3 linked regions of the Tribolium castaneum genome follow. The protein of the gene in region 3 purifies or fractionates together with the protein of the main gene of each other region. This does not show direct contact. Links are inferred from orthologs where the notes say so. Each region holds a gene or a part of one and is shown on either strand. Other genes may lie near its edges.

Region 1 (4,082 bases), on a different chromosome or scaffold from region 3:
CGTGCAAAAAATATCTCACAGCGTACTTTTTTCGGACATGTGATATGGTGTGTTTAACTTGACATGAAAACCAACTAAAATTACGACTAACAAAAAGAAAAAAAATATTGTTGCGTAAAATAAAACCTTACCAAGTGGATCTAACTCTGTGAAAACATCAAATTGTGACAAAATCTCCTGCTTGGTCATTTCGTGTTTTTCATCTTTGGTGGGTTCAGGCACTAGGGGAGGTTCTTTGAATATGCTTTTCGTGGACTGAGTGAACCAATCATCGTCATGATGCGGAAAAGCGTCTTTTTTAATTTTTTCATCTCTCGACTTAATTAAACTATTATCACAACTTGCGTCCAAACTGGTTGCAGTGTGCGGTGTCCGCGGACTAAAAACACTGCTGGAATCCGAACTTCGACTCGACCTCTCCCTTCCAGAAGACGGAGGCGGTGGCAAAATCGGCTTCTAAATTATACAAAAATTATACCAAATAATCCAGACCTTAAACATTGCCTTACAGTATAACTCGTAAAACTATCACCAAACGGGTCATCCTTCGAGCCGAACGGATCAGACGGAGTGATCCTTTCCATCTGGTTGAGGCCCTGCTGAAGGCTGTTCAGCTCCAACTCCAAGTCCACCAAGTCGGCCACCGCTGTCCCGCTCGTTTTACCCTCGGAATTCGACGCCTTACTGTCATTGGCCGCGCTTTTGGCGATTTCCTGGCTCACAGGCTACAAACCCCCATTTAACAAAATTGGCAAATCGGTGAACTGTACCTTTGATGCTGAGACAGAATCTGAGAAGAGGGGCGAGCTTGTGAACCGACTCTTGTCCAAATGTTGCTTGGCCAACTCAATTTCCTTCTTCTTGAGGGCGAAAACCACTTGGAACAAGTCCCTCATGGCTATAACCACCTAAAAGGGGCACTTGTACCACCATCCAATAGGCCATGATTTTGAAATTAAGTTGGCAACATCAACAAACGTCACAATTTTATAACAGTAATAAAAGTAATTACTCAGGTAACTCTACACATATTGAAAATTATATATAGTATTCTAGTAGTAACTTTTTTACTTTTTTGACTATAAGTAGTTTGTTAACGAGTTTATTGCTCATTTTTTACCAGGAGTTTCATTGATATGGTAGCGCTCAGCTCCGTTTGCGTGTGCGTCAACTGACATTTCTGTCACTAAGTTTACATAGCAGGGGCATAGCGGTGACAAACTATCAAATACTTTTTGAGGTTACAAAGTGTTTAAATTATGAGTTGTTACAAAAAATACAGATTCACAAAACAAGAACTAATAAACGCAGAATCAAAAACCTAACGAAACGCAAATCACAAAACACAATAAACGAACAGAAAATACTTGCGATTAACACCGATAACACTTTCGACAACCATGCGATGACGTCTATAATTTACTGTCAATGTCAGGTTGACAAATTCGTGACACTTGACGGTGTTGTCGAAGTGCACATGTAAATTAATGTTCAAGGATACCACCCTTAGGTAGCCCTTAGCTGTTTAAATTTGCATTGTTTTTGATAATTTTTTATAGCTTTGTGTTGGTAATGAAAAAATGAAATTGATGACGCACACGCAAATCGAGCTGACCGCCACTATAGTTGTCCATACTGTTATTTTTGTGACTTGAATTAAGTATAAAGTTGTGAGTGGTTACTTTCCGAGTCTGTTAGGGCTCTGTGTTGCCCACTTGACTTACTTGGCTGGCGGCTTTGTCCGTTTTGATGCCGAAAAACCGGTGGCCGGTGTCCGGGGAGCCGAAAATGTAGCCAAAGGCCCTTGAGTCGGTCATGTCCTGAGCGATGAAGGAGATTTTGTGGACCGGGTGGTGGTAGAGGGAGTCCTGAAAGCCACTATTAGGGGGTTAAAGCTGGTGGTGGTACGCACCCCTGTTTTTTCGTCCCTTAGTCGCAAGCCGTCAATTGCAATGTTGATTGTGATGCGCTGCTTGTGCTCCCCTGCCGCTCTGATGGCCATTTTCAGGTCAGACAGGGCCTCCTGGCACATGCGGTCCCCTCTGGCTTCGGACACTTCCAAAATCCCGATCAGTTTGGCCTTAAAACTCACACCATCGCCCAGGAATCGGGTGGTCTCGTTCTTATCTGAGAGGAAATACGCTGATAAGGGGAGAAGTGAGCGAGTGCAAGACGGGGAAACCGTTCGAAAGGATACTCACATTTCAGGGGACTTGTTTTTTTGCGTAATGTTTGCATGGTTAGTCAGAGGTGGGTTTTAAAACACTGTTAACCATCCGGGACCAAACCATCACATTTTATCACATTATAAATTGACTTTACACTTCCCATAATAATGGAAATTGGGTATTTACAGAGCGGTTAGCTGAAAGTGGTTCATTTTGTGTGCACTGAATTAATTCTTATATTGATCATTGAATCCATTGATCAACCCTATTTAGGGGTGTAGCAAGTTTGGGGTTGAAGCTTGCACATGCTCAGTTCGGCGTGGTGTAATCACATTTTATTGATTTTGAAAAAGTTTACAAGCTCTAGCTCTATTTCTACGATTTACCAGAAAATAACCCAACACCTGATTTTTGCCATAATAGTTAAAAAAAAAAGAAAAACTACCCTCTGATGGTATTTCAACCATTTGGATAATGGTTCCTTCCAACTTGGGGCGCAAATTTTCCGAAATCACAAGAAACCACCGTCATGGAGATAAATGTACCATAAAAGCGGCATCCATCACAGTAACGTCATACCATCATGGTTTCATCTCTTCCATAACAGTTGTTTGTGCAATTACTGCAATTTCCCCGCATTTTCTCGTCTTTAGTCCAAAACCATCCATTTACTCGTGCAATTCTAATGCAATTGAATTGCAATTTTTGAAAATTTTTTGGAAAAAACCTTTTCGAAAGAAAAAATTTAAATCAAGTTAGGGAAATTAGTTTTGTAACCGACTTGACATAACCTGGTTTTAACATAACCTTACCGTTATAACCTCGTTATTTTATAATTTTGACGAAATGGTTAAAACCCTTGATAAGCAAAAGTTGATTATAAAAGATGCTCTCACCAACGTCGTAAGTTTTTTGTGCTCGATTGTATTTAAATAAAACACGCTTTTAAGGATGGAAAGCCCAACAAAAAAATTATTTTTCGCGAAAATCTGGACGACTCCTCTCAGCTTAACGGTGCGAGTTCGCACCATGAGCCTCAAAAGTCGCTTTTCGAAAGTGACGACGAAGCTGAAGACGATTTGAGGTTTGAATTAAAGCCTCAGTTTAGTGGCAAGAAAGGGCACCAAGTAAAATAATTAAAATGTGGTATTGCTTTGCTCATGTTTTGTTGCAGCTTTTTGAGCTACAGACGAAATACAAGGGTGATAAAAGGTTTGCGTTGGACGAACGGTTTGCTGATGCTAATGACGAAGAGGAAAATGTCGTAAATGGCGAGTGCTCGCTTGAAGACGAGAAGAAACACGAGTTGAATATTTTAGAGCAAGTTTTGGGAACCAAAATAAAGACGAAAGATGTTAAGGTGCAAGAGGATGGGTAAGTGTCGGTGTTAGTTATTTTTTTATACAAGGGTTTAATTGTTTAGGTCAAAGAAAAAGCGAATGGTGCGGTATGATCCCTCACAGTCAGATCATGTGAAATTCCATGTGAGTGTAACTCAAGATGAGTCTGCTCCAAAAACCAAGAAAAAGAAAAAACTGAAAGATGCACAGAAAGAAGATTCCAATATTCAAGAGCAAGAGCAGCCAGTTGTTTCAAAAGAGATTTTTTATAAAGTAGAAGATGGTTTAAAAAGTACACTTGAAGAGAAACAAGAATTTAGCCTATTAAAATTGTTCGGACAGGAAGAAAAAGACGAACTAAATAACTCGATCGAAAATTATGAAACACAAACCAACAATAAAATACGGAATAACGCTTTCCTGAATGACAATCCCTTCCATTACGATTCGTCAGACGATGAACCGGAAGAACCCAAAAATGCGGAAACTACGAAAAAACCTGAAGAATTTGAAACAAAGGCTCAGACAAACACTGTAAGAACGTGGTTTGAACCATTCTTCTTGAAGGAAGATG
Region 2 (3,652 bases), on a different chromosome or scaffold from region 3:
AGCAACGATAATGCGACGATAAAAAATAGAAAAATGAGCTTTATAGTTTGCTGTCAATTTTGTATCACCGTACTGTACAAACTTCTTATGGAATAGTATATTATTATACGAGTTTTATGAGACGTTCTATTGTGGTACGAATGGAGCACAACGAAGGAGTGCTTCAATAGAATAAGTGCCACAATTAAGTGTTATAAAACGAGTGTTTTTATACTTTCTATTTTTGTTGTTTGTTTGTTTAGTTTAACTTATCAAAACCTGTTTAAACTATTTCCTGTTAATTTTGTTAATTATTCGGGCTTTATCAATAAACGACTTGACGCTGTTGACAGATCATACACTAAATTACAGTGATGGCTAAATTTACTAAAAGGAGTTGCACAAAAGTTCTATTATGACAAAAATAGTAGAAAATTAAAATCGAGTGATTTTGTATTTCATATCGTCTCTTTCGTGGATAAAAATGGTTCAAGTTTTCGAACCCACGAACCGCCACTGCTTTCGTCGTGAATATAATAAATATTAATTACCGTTACACTGCTTTCCGCTCCTTCCGGGCGAGCAAATGCAATCAAAATCGTCGATTCTATCCAAGCAAGTGCCTCCGTATCCGCAGGGGTTGGAGGCGCAGTCGTTGACGTTGATCTTGCAGTCCGGTCCTGTGAATCCAGGGGCGCACTCGCAGAGGAACCAGTTGACGCCGTCGATGCACTTGCCGCCGTTCTGGCACGGCTGGGGGATGCAGTCGTTGACGTCGTCCTCGCAGTGCACGCCCTCGAAGCCGTCCCTGCAGATGCACTGGTAGTAGTCGCCGGTGTTGACGCAGGTGCCGCCGTTGAGGCAGGGGTTGGAGCGGCACGCCGTCTGTTTGGCGATGTGACAAGTGGTGCCTTCCCAGTCGGGAGGGCATCGGCACATGAACGTCTTGCCCAAATCCTGGCAAGTGCCGCCGTTCTTGCACGTGGTGTGGTCGCAGTGGCTGTCTTTGAGAGAGCACGTTTTGCCCTTCCAGCCGTTCTTGCAGTTGCACTCGAAGTCGGCGATTCGGTCCACGCAACTGCCGTTGTTACGGCAAGGGTTCGGGCTGCAGTCGTCCGTGTCTGCAAAGGCAAAGAATATTATACAACTTTCTGACTCAATGAATTGTTCTCAAAATTGTAAACACAAATTCTGTTCGAGCATTTCAGAAATACAACTTTAATATTGTGAGCTTACTGCAAAAAGTGGCCAAAGTCACAAATGAAACTTTTTCACAAATTTATTCTACAGCGTGCTCAAAAACTGGCGCACCAACTCAATGGTGTGTGGTAGAGAACTGAAACTAAAGAAGTTAACACAATAAGTTTGTAGCTCCAGATTTTTTAAAATATGACTTTAGGAATTTTTTCAACATTTTTCCCGTAATCTGCACTTGCTTCTCAATAACGTACCACTGAGTTGGTGGACCAGTTTTTGAGCACCTGTATAAATGGTTATTTATATTTTGCGTTTATAATACGTTTATTAACATCTTTCAACAGGAATCGTTTATGTCTCATTAAAGTACAGTGTACTTTAATGAATTTGGGGATATTTATTATTTATTATTATTATATTTATTATTATTTAGATTTAATCATCATTTCTTCTTCATTTATTATTATTGTCGTTACCAACTGACACAAAAATCCCTAGAAGACAAAAAAATAATTAATCAAAATAAAAAAGGGGGCCCAAAGTTTAAAAATTAGAAAAAAAGACTCGTTTTATAAGGGTTTTGGCGCACTCATCCCACAGAAAACTTGCCTATGCCTCTTTTCTCGTGCGCAACCCTTATAAAACTTGTTCTTTAATACAGGGTGCTCAAAAACTGGCGCACCAATTCAGTGGTACGTTGTTGAGAAGCATGTGTAGATCACGGGAAAAATCTTGAAAAAATTCCTAAAGTCATATTTTAAAAAATCTGGAGCCACAAACTTATTTTGTTAACTTCTTCAGTTTTCATTATTTTTTAATATTTTTATGTTTCACACTAAGTAATCGTTCGCTAACACAACGATGAATAATTATTTTTAAATTTCCTATCAGACTTTAGCAGTTTTTTGTATTTAAAAAAATTAAAATTCATCAAAAAAATCACAGTTTGTAGATGTGCCAACACTGGGAATTATTTCCTAGGCAACCATTTCAAAAATAATTTATTTTTATTCGGAAATAAAATTACCGTTGGGGGCGCCACTGAGCTAGGTCGAAAACAGTAACCATAAATGGCGGGAAAATGTTTATTCGGATATTTTGAGCGTTGTACGAATTTTGGGGCTTCACAATTATTACAGTGCCTATGCGGAATGATTATTGCATCTTTGATGCAAGAAACTTATGTTGACAAATGAGAGATGACGAGGAAAACACGAATAACGAATGACTGTTTGGTTCACTTTCTTTATTGGAAAATTATTACAAAAACATTGAAAAGCCTACCTTTTGGCATAATTTACGTTTAAATGTATCAGCAGTTGTTAATCTTTATTGTAGTTTTGTAGATTTACCGCAGCATTTCATGATTTTTCCAGAGGAAAATTTTAACCTAAAATTCATAACATTTCACTAATTTATTGGTTTCATGAGCCAAACTTTGTGTTCGCTGTGATCCATTACTTATAATCTTTAATTAGACAACTGTTTGATAACACTTTGTAATCAAAATTTAAATATTTTTCACTTTTTATCCACTTTCAAGTTCCAACAATAAACACTTTATACCACGAAAAACTACAGAACCAAAGTCAACGCTAGTATTTACCACCACGTACTTTTAAAGTAATTCTTTCTATTGTAAGTAATTAACACTACACACGCAAAATTGTTGAACAATTCATTAAATGTCAGTTAAATGTGGCATTACGAAAATTTCTTTACTGTTTTCGACATAGTTTAAAAGTCATCACCAGAGGGCGTCTAGTTAATTTTATTTCCGAATTGTTGATCACATTCAATTGTGATCTCTACTGTTAGACAACGTTGCCACATATCGTTTATTTAAAATCCGTTATTTAACAATAACTTTAATACAAAGAATTTTTTAACTATTTTTACCTTTATATGTAACCAATTCTCTTCCACACTCCATTGAGTTGGTGCGCCAGTTTTTGAGCACCCGGTATACTACTATGAAGTCAGTGATGTTTTTCTTTAAATAACTTTTGGTGGGCAATTACGTAAGACACCACACTTTTTAATGAAGTTATAGAAATCCACGTATGTTTTGTAGTTATACAAGAAAATGTGATCGTAATAACGTAAAACTTCAATTTTTTGACTCATCTCTTACCATTAATTAAGTACAGCTTTGAATGATTGATTTTTGTTAGTTTGTGTCTCAAAAAATGTGTTAAAATGCTTGGAATTAGCTTAAATAACGTAATTCAAACCTAAAACCACTTTATGTTTTATTTATAGCAAAATTTATCAAATAAAGTAAATAACGATCTCCAGCTATTTATTTTTAGGTTGTTTCTGGTAGAAAAATCAACAAAACTTCTAAACTAATACATTTGCTATTTTAGCAAAATATCTTGAATTTAGTTAGTTACCACAAAAACCGGTTAATTCGCTTAAAACTTGAATCGGCGGAAAATTAATACTTCTGAACAGAAATAAGTAAAAACCGAGA
Region 3 (4,100 bases):
TGACCAAATTAAGTCGAAAATTTTTCGAATTTTCACGTTTCTGAGCTAACACTCAAATTTTACCGATAAAATAACCATTTCCATGGTAACGGTATGTGACTGTTGCTTGGTAACAATGTTATGTTGGTCCTTTCTGGCCCAATTTTCGTAATATTGCACAATTTCTTTATTTTTTTTTTCAAAGTTTGTGTAAATATCTAATCTTTAAGCGTCCTTTTACATGTGTGTATGAGCATATACAGCTGTGTCGTGACGTCACACCCGACGTACTTTAAACCCCCCTATGTATAAAAGTTCTGTAACGGTCATGACAGGTGGTCTCGTCTAAAACGGGCGCGGGTTCAAGTCGCAATATTTATTTGTTCCCTCGGTATAATTTTTACGATGATTAAAATTCAAATTCCCTAGAGAAAAAGAACAAAGTGAACGCAGTGAGCTGGGAATACGAAAACACACTCACTAGATGCAGATTGCGTGAACTAAATAACTGGTTTCATGCAACTCTTGATTATTCTTGAGAACTAAACTAATTAATAAAATATTTATCGGTTCCGTCAAATGACGTAAGATTTTTCGCCACACAACTAATTAAATTTTTGGCTCGGTTTCTCATCCAACGTTGAAATCTTTAGCACATTTGCGCGCTTGGTAAATTTTTACTTTAGCTACTTCTGGATTTTTGAAAATTTTTTTTTTGCATTTTGCTTTAAAAAGCCTCTAGATCAAAGATATGACCATGAAAGTTTGTGCAAATGCCCCGTTTTCGAAAAATTCTACTTTGAATGACCTTGACCTAGACTTTTTAAATTTTATTAACACTCTAATAAATGATATTAGCCGTAAATATAACTATAAATGAGGCAAGGCGCCTACAGATGATAGCCCGCAGGCTGGGGCTTCGCCCCAGCAGGCTGGGGCTTCGCCCCAGCGACCTAAAAATAAACATACCCCACGGACGATTAAACTCGAAAATGTTGAACTCGAAACGTGGAATAGTGGTTTTTATGGAACTATGCTGCGCGTGGCTGGGGCTTCGCCCCAGTTAACTAAAAGGAAACATACCCCACGACCAATTAAACTCGAAAACGTGGAACTCGACACGTGGAATAGTGTTTTTTATGGAGCTAGGGTGCCGTACAGTTCGTGGCAGGAGGCTGGGGCTGCGCCCCAGCTAACTAAAAGGAAATATACACCACGATTGGTAAATTAACCTCAAGAACGTAGCACTCACAAAAAAATACCTTGTTCACCACTAGTAAGTAAAATAGTAATGGAGTGGTGTTGTTGGTTGTGTTGTTGCATGAAGGGAAATGCGGGAATGCATCCCCACTTCCGTCAATCAGCCAATCAGAGCACAGAGACATAAATTCAAATTGCAAAATATGAAAAAATACACCTACTTTTTAATGAAAAAGGTATAATACGTCATTTAAATTCATTCTGGGAATACCCGAAGGTGTTATAATCATAACAAACACGCAGGTGCGATTCTTACCTGTTGAAGCTAAACAATAACAACCAATCAGAAATAAGCACACGCAACGCATGCACACCCTGGTGGCGAACGTTGTATCCCTTAAAATCAACAAAAATGGCGATTCAAGTGAAATGAGTGAAAATAAAAATTATTTTTGTAATGTTATTTTCAATTTGCACAAGAAAATTCATAGTGTACGGTCATCAGGGCACTCAGAGGAATCGTTTGGCGTAAGTTTCAGCTTGAAAATCCAGAAGTAGTTAAAGTAAAAAATTATACCGCGCGCTTTTCACACACAACAGCGCGGAAATACAACAGGTTTGTTACACTTAACAGTGCACATAATCCCAGCACTTCATTATCTACACATCTTTATTTAATTTTGCTGCAATTTTTGAGAATAAAAACCATGGCAACGATACAATATTTTGACATTAGAACCATAGCAACGATTCACATTTTGACATTAAAAACCATAGCAACCAACGGCTTAACAAGGATTCAAATTGTGCACCAACGGATTTCTGGTTATTTTGCATAACTGGCAATGTGCACATTTCGTAAAATTTCTCAGGATATCCCCTAATTACGATTTTCCGTCACTTAACTTGTTTACGCGAGTATCAAGTGGTACTTGAGAACCTGGCGTTTTGTTTACATTTCATGCCGGAAGTGTGCTTTATATTTGCCTAATTATGGTCCAGCAATGCAATAATTGGGATAAAATTCATCCGGCGGCGCCATTTTGCTCTCGCTCAAAACGTCAAAAATTTTGACTTCACAGCCGTCTTAATCTATGTGAAAGTCCTGTTTTGGGGCTGTTACGAGTGGTCCTCACCTGTTGCTACATTCGCTAGGGCCAGTAAAACCGCGGAAGACACTATAATCCGTAAATCATAATCCTTCCAGTTAGTAATCCACATTTTCGTGTAAATTCCCTCATGGGGCACACACTCCACACACGCACCACTACGTTAGACACATTCTCCGCGTGCTTTCGGCCACTTTTTCAGTGTTTTTCATTGAAAATTTGCGTTTTTTCAGCGCTTGAAATACGCACAATACACAACCGACCACAGCACACTCCGTTCTGAGAGGGGGCTTTGTTTGAGACGCGCCAAGATGGCCACCGGATGATTCTTGTATTCCTACGCCGATTTATCTCGGCAAACTCACCGGAAAATGGCCAAAAGCCAGCGGAAAAAACACACCGAGGACAGTTTTTCACAAACTGAAACGATTCGTGTGCAACCTATTGCGCGAAAGTGCCAAAGACGGGAGATAAGCGCGTGAGAAAATTTCTTCGGTACTACTTTTCACAGCAACATGTTGGAATGTCGGTGGTTCTTCCCCCAACCAATGACGGATTCAATATTCAGACTGATTCAGATTTATCTCGTTTACCGAACGAAAGAAAAATCAAAACTGCGATATGACCACGATTAGATAGTTTCTGGTTTCGCTCTTGACACACGTTTCACGCGGGTTTTCACCAAAACAATCTGGTTGTTAAGGAATGATAGTCGGTAACCATGGTTTTTTGTACCAATAACCAATCGCGCCAAACAAAAAATTCAAATTTCGCGCTGCGTGAATTTTTATTGTTTATTGTGCCCAGTTTATGTCGTAATTGCGTCTAACTGTTATTTTCAGCGGAAAATTTTCACATAGTTATTTGCAAATTTATTACACAAAAAATTTTACTTCCTTTATTTTTTTGCGGGAATTCGAATATTTTTGCGCCGTGACTTCGCATCGACGACTAATTGGGCTTGACGTTTCAAGTAAGTCCTGGACGGGACCTCCTCCTCGTCTTCAGATCCCGTGGGAGGTGGAGGAGGAGCCGGGGAAGTCCCGGGCTGGGGAATTGGAGTTCTACGTACTAGGCCACTGTACGGTCCCGGCAACCACTTTTCTTCAATATCTTCAAGTTTAACGACCTAATAAATTAATTTATTACAAGGAATGGTAAAAAATGTGTTAAAAAAGCTACGTTTTCTTCGTTTTCAATGCGGATAATTTTGGCCAAATCGGACTTAATGCACTTCAAAGTGCCCAAAACGTTGCTTTCTGGCACCGAAATCGGGTTAATGCAAGCTTGTAACTCTTGAACAGATCGGAGAATCGTCTGAATCGTCTTATCCTTCACCAGTTTCAAATTGTTGGTTTTGAGTGATATGTTTTTGATTTCGTCGATTTGGCTTAGCATTTGTTCCATTTTAAGCGACTTGCGTTCAGTTTCCTTCACTTCAGCGTACTTGAAAAACTCCAATTGCGTGTTTAAATCGTCCAAATTCTTCTCGAGTTGTTTCTTCTCGCTTTCTGATTTTTTCCGTAGCAAAATAAGCCGTTCTAAGGTGTCTTTTTGCATGTTAAATTTGTGTAAAACCTCCGAGGTGTTAGTGGCCCCTGTCGCTTTCTTCAAAACCTCGAAAGCCCGAGTTAAAACTTCCTCCGGTGGTGATAAAGTTGTGAGCATTGTTTCATTTTCCTCCTCAATTATTTCCTCAACTCTTGCGACTTTCACAACTTGGAAAATACGTTTTTCCAGCAACTCTAACTCTTGTTTTCGCCTCGTAACCAATCTTTGGCCTTCCACAGTTTGTCTATCTCTAAAATGTGC

Evidence for each region.
Region 1: the proteins of N (region 3) and Dab purify together in Drosophila melanogaster (affinity purification with western blotting; 4 studies listed by BioGRID). This does not show direct contact. The link is inferred for Tribolium castaneum from reciprocal best matches to the Drosophila melanogaster genes N and Dab.
Region 2: the proteins of N (region 3) and Ser purify together in Drosophila melanogaster (affinity purification with western blotting; 5 studies listed by BioGRID). This does not show direct contact. The link is inferred for Tribolium castaneum from reciprocal best matches to the Drosophila melanogaster genes N and Ser.

What each region holds. Positions count from the first base shown.
Region 1 is NC_087396.1:23,476,403-23,480,484, reverse strand, and holds the start of Dab (protein disabled), read right to left. Parts: upstream 2,817-4,082; 5' UTR 2,636-2,816; coding exon of another isoform or gene 2,614-2,635; 5' UTR 2,239-2,613; coding exon 2,202-2,238; intron 2,143-2,201; coding exon 1,913-2,142; intron 1,869-1,912; coding exon 1,725-1,868; intron 909-1,724; coding exon 771-908; intron 726-770; coding exon 510-725; intron 457-509; coding exon 132-456; intron 1-131. Other genes in the region: probable RNA-binding protein CG14230, read left to right, coding at 3,015-3,071, 3,119-3,295, 3,343-3,542, 3,592-4,082. UniProt on the Drosophila melanogaster protein: Together with Abl, involved in embryonic neural development. May have a role in eye development. Acts as an adapter protein for SH2-domain containing proteins during sevenless (sev) signaling.
Region 2 is NC_087396.1:10,169,785-10,173,436, reverse strand, and holds part of Ser (protein jagged-1b), read right to left. Parts: intron 1,101-3,652; coding exon 531-1,100; intron 1-530.
Region 3 is NC_087400.1:125,195-129,294, forward strand, and holds the start of N (notch), read right to left. Parts: upstream 2,953-4,100; 5' UTR 2,401-2,952; coding exon 2,316-2,400; intron 1-2,315. Other genes in the region: CCDC151 (myosin heavy chain, clone 203), read right to left, coding at 3,187-3,417, 3,471-4,100. UniProt on the Drosophila melanogaster protein: Essential signaling protein which has a major role in many developmental processes. Functions as a receptor for membrane-bound ligands Delta and Serrate to regulate cell-fate determination.